3 linked regions of the Neurospora crassa OR74A genome follow. The protein of the gene in region 1 interacts with the protein of each later gene in a pairwise test. Links are inferred from orthologs where the notes say so. Each region holds a gene or a part of one and is shown in the gene's direction. Other genes may lie near its edges.

Region 1 (6,346 bases):
ACATGGAAGTGGACATGCACACTAGGTAGGTAGGGCTGCGGGCCGTCTCGCGATTAAGAGCCCTACCGGGAGTCCAGGACAGCAGATCCTTGACAACACCACGATAAGCTCGGTGGGATTTTGCGCAGCCACTGGAGTTACAAGTGAGACTGAATTCGTCCAGGACAAATTAACAAAGACTGCAGCCGGGCTAGACTACTAAGACTATGTCATTGCCTTGAACACTAAGACGAGTTGCATGATTCCTCCAATTACTCTTATTCCTTTCATTCGTCCTCTTGGGTTATTTATGGTCCCTAATAGTCATTTAAAGCCATACAGTTTCCTTAGTGTCTTGTCAAGTTGCCGATGACATTATGTTCTGGAGTCCACGTTTATTTGTCCTAGACGAGCTACATAGATACGCCCAGTTTCACCTCATCAGGACATCCTGCAAAAGCTTATTTAATGCGAGTGTGAACGCCAGTCGGCATCCGGAGCTTTCAACGGCGTCCCTGCATTGGACTTGGTGTCTACACAGATCACGCACAAGGACGACTCTTGCATCTACCTACCGTACATATTAGTCCTGGTAAGTTCGTTAGTAGCGTGGTACTCAAACGAGGGCATTAGATAGTGGGGAAGGTAGAGGAGGCTTTGAGTGATTCTAGTAGTTTTGAGCTTGTAAAAGAGGTTTTTGTTGTGTGCAGATGTTAGTCTCTGAACAGACCCCATCTGCCTCCGTTCCCCCGCCCCACATAAAATGTGGGTCTCCTCGAACTTTGTGAAACGGGTGGGGTGGGGTAGTTTTGGAGGTTAGTGGGTCTGACTGAGACTAGCAGATGTTTAGATCTCTTCTGCTAGCTCTTTCTCTCCTTGAAAGTAGGTAGTTTTAGCCTATTAGATTGTGTGAATTGTAATGTTCTGCCTTGCAGCCATCCTTAAGTAATGTTCCCTCCCTTTGCAACCTCTCCCCCCTTTTTTTTTTTTTTTTTTTTTTTTTTTTTTTTTTTTTTTTTATAAATACTAGCACCCTACTTATTATATAGTCAGTTAAGTGTAAGAGTTACCAATTCATACTAGAACTGCTAACTGCTAGTTAGAATAATAAAGGTCAAACTTTTGCATTAACAAGGGTCAAATTTTAGAAGAATGAACACTTATACCTTCATATTGGAGCTCAGCAACCTACTTTTTTAGCCCCTTAGTATCTTCTAGTATCTTGAATACCTACTACTAGTCTATACACTAGCCTCCTATTTTGCAAATACTCTACTAATTGCAATGAATTATATTGTAATAATAGGAAACGTTACTATATTGTCCCTTTATGAGAAGTTGTGGGATGCGTAGAAGACTACCTCATAATGAACCTCTCAAGGACTAATGTTAGGGAACGGTTTGTACTAATATGCGAATAAGAAAAACAACCTTGCATCGATCGTGTTCGAATAGTACCTGCTTAGCCTTCACACGTGAGATGCCTTCAAGTTGTACGGTGATTAAACTACGTGGCTTGGCATTTCAGCACCTGCTCAGTTTGTTCCCACTGACGCAATTGGTCGTCTTTTGACCTGCCATTCCCAGACAATGATCAAATCCAGCACCTTGAGGTTTTGAATAGGGATGGGAGATATTCTTCGTTGGGCGGACGATGCAAAACCAAGGCCGCAATACGTCACCCGCCGGGCGGATACTAGTTGGTGGCACAAAGAACGGCCACCTTTGCGATTCAACGTGCACTTGATTTGCAGTAAGATTGCCCAATTTGGCAAACCTGGAGATCGTCTTGGACCTCGATCGAAACAGCAAGACCACGGGTTATGTGAAGCGCCTGGTTGCGGGTAGTTCACGGCAGATTACCTACCCAGGTTACCTCTACCTGTTAGAGCTATGTACAGTAGGACAGTGCCTGTTGTGGCCAGGCTCACCTGGCACAAGATAGCTCGACGTGGTGTTCGCTCTTGATGATGTAATGGGTCAACCATGGGCTGCTCTGGCCGTCGTGTCTATGCAAGGTCTTGTGATATGACAACTAAAACCTGTAATTTGGAACCACCAGCTCCCGTCTCGTACTGAACGGGCTCGCTCGGTTTAGCCGGACGTCTCTTTCTGCTCAGCTACCAATGTCACCTATGTACATTACAGGGGCACTAGGCTTATCTGAGTGCCAAGCCAAGATTGCGTTTCACAGAGTACTTCTAGGACTGACCTTCATTGCTTGAGGAATAATCCCAGACTGACTCCGGAGAGAAGAACGAGAACCACATCCACCAAAAAAAGGGTCAAACAATAGGTAAGCTTAAGCGCGACCTGTCTGGGAACTATGGTGTGCCATTGGGTGGGGTCACTTCATCTGAAGCTGCAACTGAACCTCCGTCGAGGCCCCGGTCCGTAATTTGCGGGGGGCGATCAACAGCTCCATCATATGCCCGGAATAGCGCACGCTACAGCAGCACAATTAGCCCAGACCCTGCCCAGCGTTCTTTGTTGCTGCCCTGCCCCCGGTGACGACGACATCATACCTGTCTCCCAGACGGCCCAAGGCACCAAATCAACATTACCACTTTCCCTGCTCGCCTTCTTCCTCTAGTTCTAAACCGCCTCGCTACCTTTACCACGAGCACCTTCCACGCGCCCACATTTCCTACTACCTCTAGTCTCGGATGCGCCGTCATTGTCTTCCCGTCCAGTCACAACCCCAGACCTAGGTAGCGGTAGCAATATCTTATTTTCAATTTCCAGTCTGGATCGCCCGACTCGGTTTGTCTACTGGTCTGGTTCCAGCCTCATCATCCAAGCATATCCAGGTTGCCATCCTCAACACCCGCGCGCGTCCATCCAGGCTCTCATTTACGCTGCCCTTCTCCAAAACCTATTGCCTATCCGTCTTCTCGTCCTCTCGTACAGCCCAAGGTCTGCCGACTAGATATCCTAGTCGACCATTCCCGCTGCCGCTACCACGACCCAACCAGCCGCTCTACTTCCCCAACTTCCGAGCCTACTCTCTGTCCTTATCCCAGTACTGGGTGAGGTGTCCTGCGGCGCGCGCCGACACTCACCATGATGACCGCTAGATCTCCAGTCGGGGCCCCCTCCCCCAACATGAACTTTGATCGCGGACACAGCTACTTTCCCGACCAGCAGCAAATTATCCATGAACAGCAGCAGCAGCAGCAGCACCCACCACCACAACAACCACAGTACTATTCCGGTGGCCCTGATGCCGAGACCGCGTCAAACACCCTGGCCAATACTCACCTGATGCAATCTCATCATGAACACATGGCCACTGCTCCTCACTTAGCCAGATTCAACGAGGAGTGGGATGCCGGTCGACGAGGAAGCTCGATCGTCGACGGCACGCGACCTCACAGCACCATGTACCGAACGAACTCGTACGCCGGTTCTGTGAATGGCCTTAACGGGGATGGGGCCGCTTCCATGTCCCGCAGCAACACTCTCAAGAAAAAAGCGTCTCTTAGACGTAGTGGGAGCCTCAAACGGAGCGGCAGTCGTCGCAGCATGAAAGCGGGGAGTGTTCGGAGTTTGGCACTTCAACAGAACTCCGACCAAGAAGGAATGAACAGTGCCTTTTACTGCCCGGTTCCGACGGCAGGCAGTCCCACCGACGTCCTTGCCAACCGTTTTCAAGGTATGAGTTCATACCTGTCTGCTAACAGAGTCCGCGCCTAACCTTCATGTTTTTGTTTCTTAGCATGGCGAAAGATTCTCAAAGACCTTATTGTCTTTTTCAAGGAGATCCAGACACACTATGAGCACCGTTCCAAATCGCTCATTAGATTGGGGAATGTACTGAATAATACGTCGACTCCCCCAGGATTTCTTTCAGATGGTGGGCTAGACGATGCCCTCCAGGTTCTGCGAAATTACAACAAGCAAGCCATTGCCGAGTCCAATAAAGCACGCGAGATTGAAGAGGATGTTATCCTAGCACTCACGGGTTTACGGAGTGACCTACATCAGAAGATCAAGGAAATCAAAAATCTCTCTGGCGATTTCAAGAACTCCGTTGACAAGGAAATGGAGGCCACTCGAAGAGCTGTGAATAGTCTTCAGGAAGTTCTTGGCAAGACCGAACTCGACCCAGCTCTGACAACAGGCAAAGAAGATCCATATCTGTTACGACTAGCGGTGGATCGCCAGCTGGAAAGGCAAATTGACGAGGAAAACTATCTGCATCAGGTACGCACTTTTCACCATGTGCCTCGTTGGGGGAGTCCTGTTCACAGCTAACTGCCGTACCCAAAGGCTTACCTGAACCTTGAGAATTCGGGACGGGAGCTCGAGTCCATTGTCGTTGGCGAGATACAAAAATCTTACAACGCTTATGCTGGTATTCTCAAGAGAGAGTCGGATGTTGCTTACAGTGCTATTGAAGAGCTTCGAATTGGCCCAGTTTCCATGCCCAAAGATACCGAATGGAACTCCTTCATTCGAAAAGATGATCAGTTCGTGGATCCGGACGTGCCCATGCGATCGGCTGAGTTCATTCACTATCCGGGCCGTGACCATCACGCTTGTCAGGAAATCCGAGCGGGTCTTTTGGAGCGCAAAAGCAAATATTTGAAAAGCTATTCGGCAGGATGGTAAGTATCCGAGCCACTAAAAGAAGCTTCTTCCCGACAGTGCAAATTCTGTTCTCTTACTAACAATAGCAGGTACGTACTATCGCCTACCCACCTACACGAGTTCAAGTCTGCCGATAAGGGACAAGGGCCGGTCATGTCGCTCTACCTTCCGGAGCAAAAGCTTGGGTCTCATTCTACCGAGGGCAGTTCGTCCAACAAGTTCATCCTTAAAGGACGCCAAACCGGAACAATGCACCGTGGCCATACGTGGGTATTCCGCGCCGAAAGCCATGATACGATGATGGCATGGTATGAGGACATCAAAATGCTCACTGAGCGGACCCCGGAAGAACGCACCAATTTCCTTCGCGGCCATGGAAGAAGCTACAGCAGGTCCTCTCAGCGGTCTTCCATTAGTAGCGATGGAGTCAATGACGACGAGGAGCCTCCCTTTTCTGCAAACGTGGCATATGTCAACCAGCCGCTGAGGCAAGACGCTCTGCCGCGACGTCCTTCAGGTGGGCGATTCCCATCTGATCTCCAGGTAAATGCACAAAAACGCTTACAGGTTCCCGTTTCCCCGCTTAGTGTGAGTTCCGGAAACGACGAGAACGGCATTGTCGATGCCACCGCGGCTACCACCACATTGCCAGACAGCGCCACAGAGAAACACGATAGAACACGGAAACCAACTCCACCGGATTGCGAGGGGCCCACTCTTACAGTACATCAGGGCGATTACACTTATGCCAACCCAAACCGGAATCAAGTTCATGGCGTGCACAACGAAATTGACGGCCAACCCCTGTCGATGCATCATACTGTTGGAAACCAAGGCGATGGTGTCATTCTCCGGGAATATGGCGAACAGACTGATGGTTGTCAAATCAGTCCCGATATGACATTACTTGCTAGACAGGACCACGATGCGGACGAGCAAAACGTTCGTCACGGCCAGCGAGGGGTAGCTTCTGATATCAGAGATATCCCAGCCTCCATGGGTGCCCTACAAGCAGTGTCCCCATTGGGGGATAAGAGAGGCATGCACAACGATATCGCATCTGCGAGTGCTCAACATCCCAGCCATACAATGCCAAGAACAGTTATGGTCGGGCAGATGGACAGTAACAGTGGTGGTGACGTTTTCCAGGATCGAACACGCCCAACTATCGGAGGAATGCGCAATGACAGCGTTCCAACCATATCCCACCTTCATATTCCTGGTGAATATCCGAAGAGCTCTTCGTAGTCTCAGCTTGCCTATACGTCTTCCGTTGATCCCAGCTGTTTATCAATCGACCTATCAAGCATGCTTGGGCGGCTTCTAGGACACATTATATTCAACGTTGACATAAAGCAATTGTGGTTGGTAGTCGTCAGTGGCTTCATCTTCGCTTTTCCTTTACTTTCGTTCTGTTTGCGCATAGGAACACTGTGATTCCACGGCTTTCTTATGTATAGGATACTCTCCTAATTGTTGTCAAGGTGGTTGTGGGGGTGATAGTGGCGGTATGGACGGCAAGGAGGACAAGTGGGGGATCCGGGGGTGATATGATCTTCGAGTCTCGAAGAATACATGTTTTGGCCGTTTTATGGGGATGCTCTTCTAATCTTCCGTCTATGGGTAGCTTGGAGCCTAGTGTCAAAGTGTGCATTTGGATCTTTCGATGCCGCTAATAATCACCGGCTCTCCCTTTAAACATGCTGGCAGTTTCTCTTTGTGTTGCTCCAAATGTGGTTTTCAGGTTCTTGTTATAAGAACTCAAGGTTACTAT
Region 2 (5,039 bases), about 680 kb from region 1:
TTTACACGCTGAAATCTGGAGACCAGTTAGTTTTGCTCGGGGCAGCTCGAGGCTTGCTGCATGAGACAGACATGTGCAGTGGACACTGGTACAAAATAGTCGGGGACGCATACTTGATTGTGTGACGAGCGTTTGTTTTGGTTTCTTGGTGTTTTTTTCCTTTGGTTATTTATTTTTTTTTTCTTGGGGGGGGGGGGAGGCCGGTAAATAGACAAGACTTTTTCTTTTTCTTGGCAAGGGAAGATTAGGTTGATGTTTTCGAGTCTTTGTGTACCAGCAAACATCCGTGGCCTTGGAAGCTGTGGGATTCATTGAAGCTGAGGGTTACACAAGACCCAAAAGGGTCTGCGGTTCTATCCAATGTTAGACGCTCACGACTGATGTTCAGGCCAGACCCTATAGACCCTTTCCCGTCTGCGCCATACAGCCATTTTGACACGATGCCACATGCTGATATCCATTCCCCCTTCCCAAAACCTTTCGCTCCTCTAATGATGAAGGAACTGTCATGCGATTGGAGAACCATTTAACTTGCTTGCCAAACGTGAAACTCAGGATATACGGCTTGCCGGAGCTGCACTGCATAGCTACCTACCAACCCAAAGGCCATGCACAAGTCACAATGGGCACGACAGGACGGATGGACGGACGAACGACACGCGCGAGACACACACACACACACACACGGGAAACAAACCCTGGACTGGACTGACGTCGAGTTTATCCATTGCATCCATCTATCCATCCATGCCATGTGAGTCGAGTCCAGTGCAGTGCAGTTCTCCTCCGAGTTCGTTGAAAGTAACTGACAAGCCACAACCGACGCAGGCAAACTCCAGGCAGTTCCCCCAAAATGATAAGTAGTACGTCAGCCCCCTATTTCTCTGGCAAGCCTTTATGGGTGAGCGTTGGAGTCTGAAACAGACTAAATCATTCTTTATTATATTCCCTTTCCATCTTCCATGCTTTCATGCACTTCGATTGGTGTTGTCTATGACCTATATCACCTATCAGCGAGGCAGTCGCATTAAACATATCTGTTGCACTGGAGAGAATTAGACGCTGGCTTTGTCTCAGCCAACTGTGCTTTCGAGTGTTAGTTGTACCAAGGACGGGTTTCGGACCGGATTATGTGTGTAGGTGGGTTCGAAAAAAAGAACGAGAATCATTCCACTTGGGCTTCCAAGCTGGACTCACTACTTACAAGCTTGTTAACAATCTCAACGTGAGTACCGGCTCTTCCCCAGTCATACCTATCTCCCATCATCCATCTCACCGTTGATTAGCATTCGCAATCTCACACATCTTCTCGACCATCATCATCTTGGTTGACTTGACCGGGCACACACTACGGCACCCAAGACCAGAGACGAAGCAAATGTGCACCTACAAGACCCACATCCGCGTGTGCCGCCGGTGCAGCAGCGAGGACACAGTCCTCATTTCAGAACAACTCTGTTCCGTAGCCAGGAACAGCGGCAGCGGCATCTTTGGCTCCTGCCTATCCGGGGTTTCCGGCCAACGAGATCAGACGGGGTACAAGTGCTGGCAATGCCAGGACGAAGCAACCCTCCCGGCATCCCGGTCTCGAAGCAGTAGTGGCAGTGGGAGTAGCACCTCGAGTGGCAGCACAGGCGGAGGACCAAGGAGGAGGGGGAGCAGTGTTAGTGTTAGTGTACCCATTGGAGCGCAAGGTGTGAACTCCATGTATGGATACAACAACAATAACAACTATCACCATGGAGTTGGAGGGGGTGGTGGCAGTGGTGGTGTTTATGACAGGGGGCAGCAGCAGAGACGGATCTCGGTATCAGGACAGACGACGACGACGACGACGACATTGATGATGTTGCAAGGACAAGGGAGGGAGTACGTGCCTGGACCGGCAGCATTACCGGTATCAGAGCAACAGCAACAGGGACAACAACAGGATCTCGAAAGGAGGTTGAGGAGGATGGGGAAGATGAGGGCAGACTTGGGGAGATATGATGGGCGGTTCATATAGATCAGATTGTTCGCGTGGGTATTGCTGGCATTGGTCATGTCATTTGTCGTATCGATCCGAGGCATCCAAGGCACTCGGTTCCTGGCAGCCATGTTTGTTAAGTGTGGATCCAGTCGAGCCGATCTGGACCCTGGAACAGAAGAATGCTGGACCCTTTACTTGTTGGTAGAATAGCTAGAACTTATAAAGGTGTTAAGTGGTATGGCGTTGAGGAAACAAATCGTAAAAGCAGACCATCAGTTCCGTATATAGTCGACTAAAATAAGCTATTGATGAACAATTATCCTCTGGGCGCGATGTGAGTAGTCGAAGATGGAGCTGGAGGTAGGCCGCCCGTTGTTACGCGCACCTGAACCTCAACTGAAGACTGACAAAATTTTAGTGGGTCCAAAGCGTCATTGTGGGGGAACTTCCGCTAGGTGGGAGCTTATCGGCTGGCGCTACGCTTTATCGATGGGGTTCTTGCCTCTTGTCCCCGCAGCCGGGGCCTCATTGGATGGTCTGTGCTCGGCATTTTTTTGCGCTAGCTACTGCAGAGCTTTTGAAGATTTCTGGAGACGGGACCACTCAGCTGCTCTCGGCACAGGTTCGTGGAGCTTTCAGCGAGCGGATCCAATGATCAAAACCATCCATCGTGGATTGTCATCGAATTTCTCCATCACTCACGTTACCCATCTTTTCGTCTCGCTCCAGTCTTCGTCCACTCACTTACCCCAGCTTCCGTCCTCGACAACACTCCTCTGTCCCAACGCGCAACAACACGATCGGACCCGAATTTCCAATCTACAGTCAACAAACTACCCCCCACCAAATCCGTCAAGATGATGTCTCTTCGTGCTGTCGCGCGCACCACTGCGCCCCGTGCTCTCCGTGCCGTCTCTGCTTCTCCCATCACCCTCGGCCGCGCCACCGTCCGCGCTACCAGCAACGTTCTCAGGACCCAGCTCCCCCAGAAGGCTTTCTCGACCACCGTCTTCCGCGCTGCCGCCACCGAGATCGACTCTGAGCTCTCCGAGAAGCTCTCCACCGAGATTGGCTATGAGCAGGACATTGCCTCCAACGAGCCCGTTCCCGCCACCGTCAAGGATTTCCTTGAGAACGGCCCCTTTGAGCTTGTCGATACCCCCGGCAAGGAGGACGTTGTCCTGAAGCGCACCTTTGGCAACGAGCAGTAAGTTGAACCCCCAACATGACTTCGATCAAGAACCATGCGCTGACCAAGGTACGCCAGGATCACCATCTCCTTTTCCATCGCCGACCTCCAGAACTACGAGCCTGGCATGTTCGACGAGGACACGGCTCTCGGTGACGAGGAGGGTGCCCAGAACGAGGAGGACATGGGTGAGGACGGCGGCGCTCCCGTCCGTCTCAACATCGTCATTGAGAAGCCCAGCAAGGGTGCCCTCAACATCGACGCCGTTGCCCAGGACGGCTCCATTGTTGTCGACAACATGTTCTACTACCACGACGCCAAGCTCGCTCACGGTGAGAGCGCCGAGACCCAGCACGCTGCCCAGGCTGTCTACCCTGGCCCTCCCTTCGGTACCCTCGACGAGGATCTCCAGGTCCTCATGGAGCGCTACCTCGAGGACCGTGGCATCAACCAGGCCCTTGCCCTCTTCGTTCCCGACTACCTTGACATGAAGGAGCAGAAGGAGTACCTCAGGTGGCTCAACAACCTCAAGGGCTTCGTCGATGCCCAATAAATGGGGAGAGATGAGATACTGTCACGAGGAATGGAAAATCCAACAAGGAAAAGGCGAGAGGATTCGAGGCTGCGGGACGGCTTTTTGATTCCGCAGCTGATGTATGACATGTACCTGTAATTATATCCCACGTTTGATATCACGACTCCATACCAAAATTTGTATAATGCAACAGAAGCCGATGGGAACGGGTTGTGTAAGGATGAAGATGCTGTAATAGGACCAACGTCCAAGTGGACAAGACAGTTTTTAAGTTGATACAGCACCAGAGATATGACCGCAAAGGGTCCAAGTCATGAGGTGGTATGGCAAATCTTGCCCATTCTCGTTCTATGCCATGCTACCCTTGCTCGCCTTGGAAGCCAGCGGTCATGCCATTGGTTGAACTGGGGTCACTGATCTTTTAGCCCAGCTGAATCGAACTTCAACTTTGTCCATCTCCTTTCTCCGTCTTACCTTTTTTCCGTTGCAGAAACATTATACTTTGTCAGAATGTGCTTGTGATATGACATCTTTCTAATCAATTTTTGCGTTCGTTTCCGAGGATTCCGGTTACATTCATTTCATTCGTACATTTTGTCCTTAATTCACGCAGTCACTGCAACTCAATATTCGCATTGTGGTGAACATCTTGCCTCAGAACACCATCAAACTGCAGACACGCAGTCAGAACCCGCTACTCAATACCTAACCTTTACAAACGCCTCTAAATAGCACCGTTGATATGACTACAACATGGATCTGAAACACGCACACCAGGCCCAGTACAGCGGCGTACACCAAACAGACGACGATGACGACTATCATCCCCCCCTACCTGTCTCGAGTTCCTCCCGGACCCAAGCCAACGACGACCACCAACCATCAGAAGACGAAGAAGCCCAACTGCTATCGACAGAAGACTACATTGAGCAATTCGAATTCGACGACAACACCGACACATCATCGCCACCTTTCTTGACGACCAAACACTCGAGATCTAATGCCAAATCCCGACTTTCCCCAATCTACCGCCTCTTCACCTTCCTCTCTGGCTCCTCCCACCCCCACCGGCAAACCCTCACCCCTTTCCTGCTTCCGTCAATCCAATCGCTTCCCCGCCTTACACTAGAACGCCTCCTTTCCCATCCATGGCAGCGCGCCGCTCTGTTATCTACCGGTCTACTCCTTTGGCTCACCATTCTTTCTGTTTCCCTGGTTCAGTCCAAGGGTACTCTCCTCTACGCGGATGGAGAGGAGGGAGGAGAGGTAGTCAGACACCTAGACTGCGTCTCAACCTTTTGGGGACCAGGCAACGAGTGCGGCGTCGACGGCGAGCGGTGCAAGCC
Region 3 (5,047 bases), on another chromosome or scaffold:
CCACGACAGATTCGCCTCCCTTTCCAGGTTTCAAGGGAATGCCTACATACGCTTCCCCCTTGACGCCCGGCCCTTGCCCATGGCTAGCATCCTTCGCATCGCTCCTCAGCGCCAAGCAGGGCGTCTCCCTAAGCGTAACCACGGGTCTCTGATCGCCCTCCAACCGCTCCCTCTCCCTTTCCATCTCGCCGTACTCAAACACCGCCGTGCAGCACGCATCAGTCCCGTCAAAGATATCCTCCCACTCCCTCCTCGTTTTGGTCTTGAACTTGTGCTCCAACACCCTCCTCAGCTCGGGCCAATTCTCCTTGTCCCCTCTCCTCTCCTCCCACCCTTGTCCCTCTAACCCCAACCCTTTAACCAACTCCTTGAAAAACTGCGGCTCCAACGCCCCGACAGCTATGTACTTCCCATCCGCGGTCTCGTACGTATCATAGTAAGGGCAGCCCGTATCCAGCAGGTTCTCCCCCCTCGGTGCGTTCCCCACGGCCGTTTTGAGCGCAAACCGGTTAAAAGTAGCCAAGTAACTCGCTCCGTCGACGATATTCGCCTCCACCACCTGTCCCTTGCCCGTCCTCTCCCTCGCGGCCAGCGCAAGCAGGATGCCCTGGAACAAAACCGCTCCGCCGCCGGCAAAGTCTCCCAGAATGTTGATGGGCGGCGTCGGCTTCTCGCCCTTCCTCCCCAGCAGACTCAACACCCCGCTCACAGCCAGGTAGTTGATATCGTGCCCGGCCATGGTGGCGAACCGGCCGTCTCGCCGGAAGCCCGTCAGGCGGGCGTAGATGAGGCGGGGGTTGCATTCGTCGCTGCACAGGACAGAGGGGCCCAGCCCGAGCTTCTCCAGGACGCCGGGGCGGTAAGGGTCGATGAGAACGTCCGATACGGCGGCGAGGGATTTGATGAGGGCGATTCCGGAGGGGGACTTGAGGTCGACCACCAAGGAGGATTTGTGGCGGGTTAGTTGGTCGGGAACTTGGCGGGCGACGGGGCCGGAGACGGCGCGGTCGATGCGCAGGACGGAGGCGCCAGCGTCGGCGAGGAGGAGCCCGGCGAAGGGACCTGTTCCCAAGCGGGGAATTAGTTTTGTGACATTTTGTTTTTTTCCAAGTGAGAGTGAAGTGTAAGTGAAGTGTATAAGTGAGACCTCAAGATCGGCCGGGTTTCGGCCGAAAGCCTCTGTGTGTGTAAGTCGGAGGAAAAGTGAGAGATGGAGGGCTGACCTGGAGCTAGACCGGCAAACTCCAGGACCTTGAGGCCGGTAAGAGGCGGTTGGCCAACCATACTGATTCCTTCCTTAAACCTTCCAATCTTTCGATGTTCTGGAAGGTACCTCTCGAATAACTTCGGCCAGTAATCGTGCCTTTGGGAATATGAAACGGTTACACGGCAACGGACCGATCCACGCACAAACACTATTCACCCAGCCGGTTCAAGTTTCCGATTCCCCGATTATTGTTCTGTTTGCGAATGGCGCAGGTTGGTTGGAAAAAGAGACACCCAGTAAATGGCGAATGAGCTCAGGGGTCAATGTGACTGGTGGTGGTGGTGGTTAGCCTTGGTAGTATTTGTAGCAACAGCAGCAACAGCAAGGTCGACTAGAAAGGATGAAACGAAAAGGAGACATAAGAGGTATCCGACCACTTATGAGGCCGGTATTCGGGACTTTAGGGTATGGGGAACTCGGATCATGCTACGTTGGATGTGTGGGGTCATAGGATGAACGGGAACGGAGATGGTGCAGTATTGTTTTGACTCTTTCTGGTTTGTTTATGACTGTTTGCAAGACCATGCAATTGGGATATCCGACCAAGACACTGCACTAAGTGTGATTTTTTCAGTTCCCGCTGAGATTCCTCATAAGGTTACGGCTCTCCAGGACTTTTCAAAAGCTGAAGCTATCGTGATGTGCAGTAAACATCATCAGACATCCTTTTCCGCTTCTTCATCCAGAACATCTCAGTTTATTTTGGGGACATTGATCAAAAGAGCTGAACAGCAATCGAAACTCGAAAACGGCCATATGACAAAGTGGATTTGGGAGCAACATTATCGCAGTGACACGAATGCGGTGAGGTGACTACTGAAGCTCCGTCCCTTCTCCTGCTCACGTTGCCCCAGGCCTGTGAGGCGGGGTGTCTGGTGTGAGGGTGTGCTGTCACCAATTTGCACCGTGAACGCATTCCCGTTTAGCGGCTGATCGCGGCCCGCCCTGTGGGGAAGTTGGGGAGCTGGGCAGGTGGAGAGAGAGGGCTTGGTATGCGGGGTAAGGACAAGAGGAGGAGGTATGTAGACTCTCAACGTTTGTAGCTGATGCGCCAAAGTGACAAATCCCGAGGATTTGGATGACAGGAGCAGATCTGAGAAAGCTATGTTGCGGCAGTCCAAGATGCGATTGGTACCAAGCAAGCAACACATGATGCAAGTGCTTCAGTACATGGCAGTACCGAACCCACGATGTCAATACAACATACGCAAGACAGCTTCGACGACCGAAAATACATGATGTGTTGATCAATAACTCTTGACACCATAAGATCTAACGAACAACCAGCATGAAATATCATGTGCCGGGAAGGTGATGGGAAGTGTATCAGACAGTATGAGTCTGGATGGTTCAACTCCGATGGATGCGTGGATGTGCCAGACTCCGTGAGTATTACTAATTCTGACTTTCAATCGTCAAAGTCTCGAGAGCGTATTGGAAACAACAATGCCGTTATAATGAGCTGTGGGCATATGGATGATGGATGATGAGAGGAAAATGTAGATGCTTCCTCTACCTCGAAGCTGACAAATGATCCAAAGACTAAAGGTGCAAAACGGATCGCAGAGCACAACCCTAACCCTCTTTCAGGAGCTAGCGGAAAGCGCTTTACATCATCAAGGTCGGGTACATTGGAAAGCTCCAGTTAGTGGCCGCTAAAAAGTCGTGATAACGCTTCTTCCACTGCCGCTGCCGCCGACAATCGCCATCCGTCCGCATCGCTGTGAATTTTTGTCTGTCTTTGCGCCAAACATCTTGTCACTCTCTAGTAGCCAGCACCGCGCCTTACCTTTCAAAATGCTCACCCGGTCGCTTTTCTCGAGGGTAAGCGCTCCAGGTCCCGTCACCCCGCAAAGTTGTAACCGGCACTAACATCCTCCTCCTCCTGACAACAGCAACTCTTCGCCGCCGCCTCCCGGCCGGCCATTGCACCCAAGGCCGTCTCCTCCGCCTTCCGCCCCGTCCTCTTCTACCAGAACCGCTTCCTGTCCGATGCGACCCGCCAGGCCATCGACAAGGCCGTCGCCTCCGCGCCCGTCGTCCTCTTCATGAAGGGCACCCCCGAAACCCCCCAGTGCGGCTTCTCGCGCGCCAGCATCCAGGTTCTGGGTCTGCAGGGCGTTGATCCCAACAAGTTTGCTGCTTTTAACGTTTTGGAGGATGCCGAGTTGAGGCAGGGTATGTTACACAACCAGTTGGGACAAGAAAAATGGGAAAAGTAGACAAGGACAGAAATGCTGACACAAGTGGGCGTGCACCGCGCATCATCATGCATATATAGGCATCAAGGAGTACAGCGACTGGCCCACCATTCCTCAGCTTTACATCGACAAGGAGTTCGTCGGCGGTTGCGATATCATTGTCTCGATGCACCAGAACGGCGAGCTTGCCAAGCTTCTCGAAGAGAAGGATGTTTTGGTCAAGGGCGAGGAGGGTGCTGCTGAGGAGCAGACCGAGAAGAAGGAGTAAAAGAAATGAAGCGGCGGATGCGGATGCAGCTTTTGGCTATGCGTGGAGGAAATGAGTGATTCATGAAGCCATTGTACTTGTACTGATACCATTTGATAGACGATTGGGATCGCATGCCTAGACTGTACGATATGTGTTTACTCTTTGCAATACTGAAAAGCGACGTGGAAGTGCTTCTCTGGAAATTCATCAGGACATTGGGAAACCAGATAACAGCAGATGATGACATGTAAAGTACATGTGAGACAGATTCCCTCAAAAGTATCTCGACCTATACCCGTCTATGATGTGTTGAAAACGCCATGTTAAATGCCGCCTGGGTATCATGTTAAAGCTCCCTTTTCCTCATGCACACAAAGAAAACAGAAAAACACAAAACAAAACAAACCCCTCAGCCATGTTGAACTCTCTCTTCTCCTCCCCCCTCCTTTCAGTTACTGTCCCCATCTCAGTTGCAGCTAGGCCCATCCGTAGCCTGTTGATTCGTCTTCGCCTCCAACCCATAACCGCCCAAGCCCGGGCTGTTATAACTCAACCCCTCCGGTCCCCTCCTGTGCTGGCTTCTCGGCCCTCTCTCCTTCAAATCATCCCTCAACCACCTCAACACCAGCTCTCCCAGCCTACTATTTCCCGTCACGCCTTCAATCACATTCTTCCCATCCTCGACCTCCTTCAACATCTCCTCCGCCTTCCCCCACCCCTTCACAGTGCCCAAGTGCATGTGCACCAGGTGCGTCGGCCAACTGGCCAAGTTGTCCAGGATGTGCGTCGCGTACACAACCGTGCACTCTCTCGTCTCCGTCTCCCGTCTCAGCCACCCTAGAAACTGCGCCCGGGACCAGACATCCAAGTCGACGGTGATTTCGTCCAGCAACAGCACCGTCCAGGGCCGGATCAAGCCCATTGCCAGCTGCACCCTGCGGCGTTCTCCGTCCGACACGGCGTGCATTCGCCAGTTGGTGTCGATATCCAGCACCGACACCAATTCATCCCTTCTCTCGGGATAAGCATCGCCGCCCACTGACCGCAGCAGCTCAACGACACCAATGTCCGTGCGCACAATCGCGTTGAGGACCCATTCCAACCCCAAGTAGGTGACGCCCTCCAGACCTTCCTTGAACGGGTCAACGCCCGACACTTTGATGGTGTTGGCGGGCGCGAGACGCTTGCCGGCCAACAGGCGAAGCAAGGTGGTTTTGCCGGCACCGTTGGCGCCAATCAGGAGCGTGCGTGAGCGAGGCGGGAGGGAGAGGGTAATGTCCGAGACGCCGTTGGAGCGGTCGGGAAAGCTGTAGGTGAGGTTGAAGGTTT

Evidence for each region.
Region 2: the proteins of NCU02425 (region 1) and NCU06086 interact in a protein complementation assay, tested with the Saccharomyces cerevisiae proteins (2 studies listed by BioGRID). The link is inferred for Neurospora crassa OR74A from reciprocal best matches to the Saccharomyces cerevisiae genes SLM1 and MAM33.
Region 3: the proteins of NCU02425 (region 1) and NCU04098 interact in a two-hybrid assay, tested with the Saccharomyces cerevisiae proteins (2 studies listed by BioGRID). The link is inferred for Neurospora crassa OR74A from reciprocal best matches to the Saccharomyces cerevisiae genes SLM1 and GRX5.

The regions. Positions count from the first base shown.
Region 1 is NC_026507.1:2,534,469-2,540,814, forward strand, and holds the start of NCU02425 (PH domain-containing protein), read left to right. Parts: upstream 1-2,443; 5' UTR 2,444-3,042; coding exon 3,043-3,634; intron 3,635-3,697; coding exon 3,698-4,185; intron 4,186-4,251; coding exon 4,252-4,589; intron 4,590-4,661; coding exon 4,662-5,820; 3' UTR 5,821-6,346. UniProt on the Saccharomyces cerevisiae protein: Together with SLM2, acts as an effector of the TORC2- and calcineurin-signaling pathways. Phosphorylated and activated by TORC2 under favorable growth conditions. Mediates actin polarization via inhibition of calcineurin-dependent transcription.
Region 2 is NC_026507.1:1,858,468-1,863,506, forward strand, and holds NCU06086 (regulatory protein suaprga1), read left to right. Parts: upstream 1-2,623; 5' UTR 2,624-2,826; coding exon 2,827-3,176; intron 3,177-3,236; coding exon 3,237-3,711; 3' UTR 3,712-3,929; downstream 3,930-5,039. Other genes in the region: NCU17215 (hypothetical protein), read left to right, coding at 1,379-2,005; NCU06085 (LCCL domain-containing protein), read left to right, coding at 4,447-5,039. UniProt on the Saccharomyces cerevisiae protein: Not known. Binds to the sorting sequence of cytochrome b2.
Region 3 is NC_026505.1:4,817,821-4,822,867, reverse strand, and holds NCU04098 (monothiol glutaredoxin-5), read left to right. Parts: upstream 1-2,923; 5' UTR 2,924-3,064; coding exon 3,065-3,091; intron 3,092-3,162; coding exon 3,163-3,445; intron 3,446-3,548; coding exon 3,549-3,736; 3' UTR 3,737-3,937; downstream 3,938-5,047. Other genes in the region: NCU04099 (alpha-methylacyl-CoA racemase), read right to left, coding at 1-1,062, 1,224-1,284; NCU04097 (ABC transporter), read right to left, coding at 4,185-5,047. UniProt on the Saccharomyces cerevisiae protein: Monothiol glutaredoxin involved in mitochondrial iron-sulfur (Fe/S) cluster transfer. Receives 2Fe/2S clusters from scaffold protein ISU1 and mediates their transfer to apoproteins, to the 4Fe/FS cluster biosynthesis machinery, or export from mitochondrion.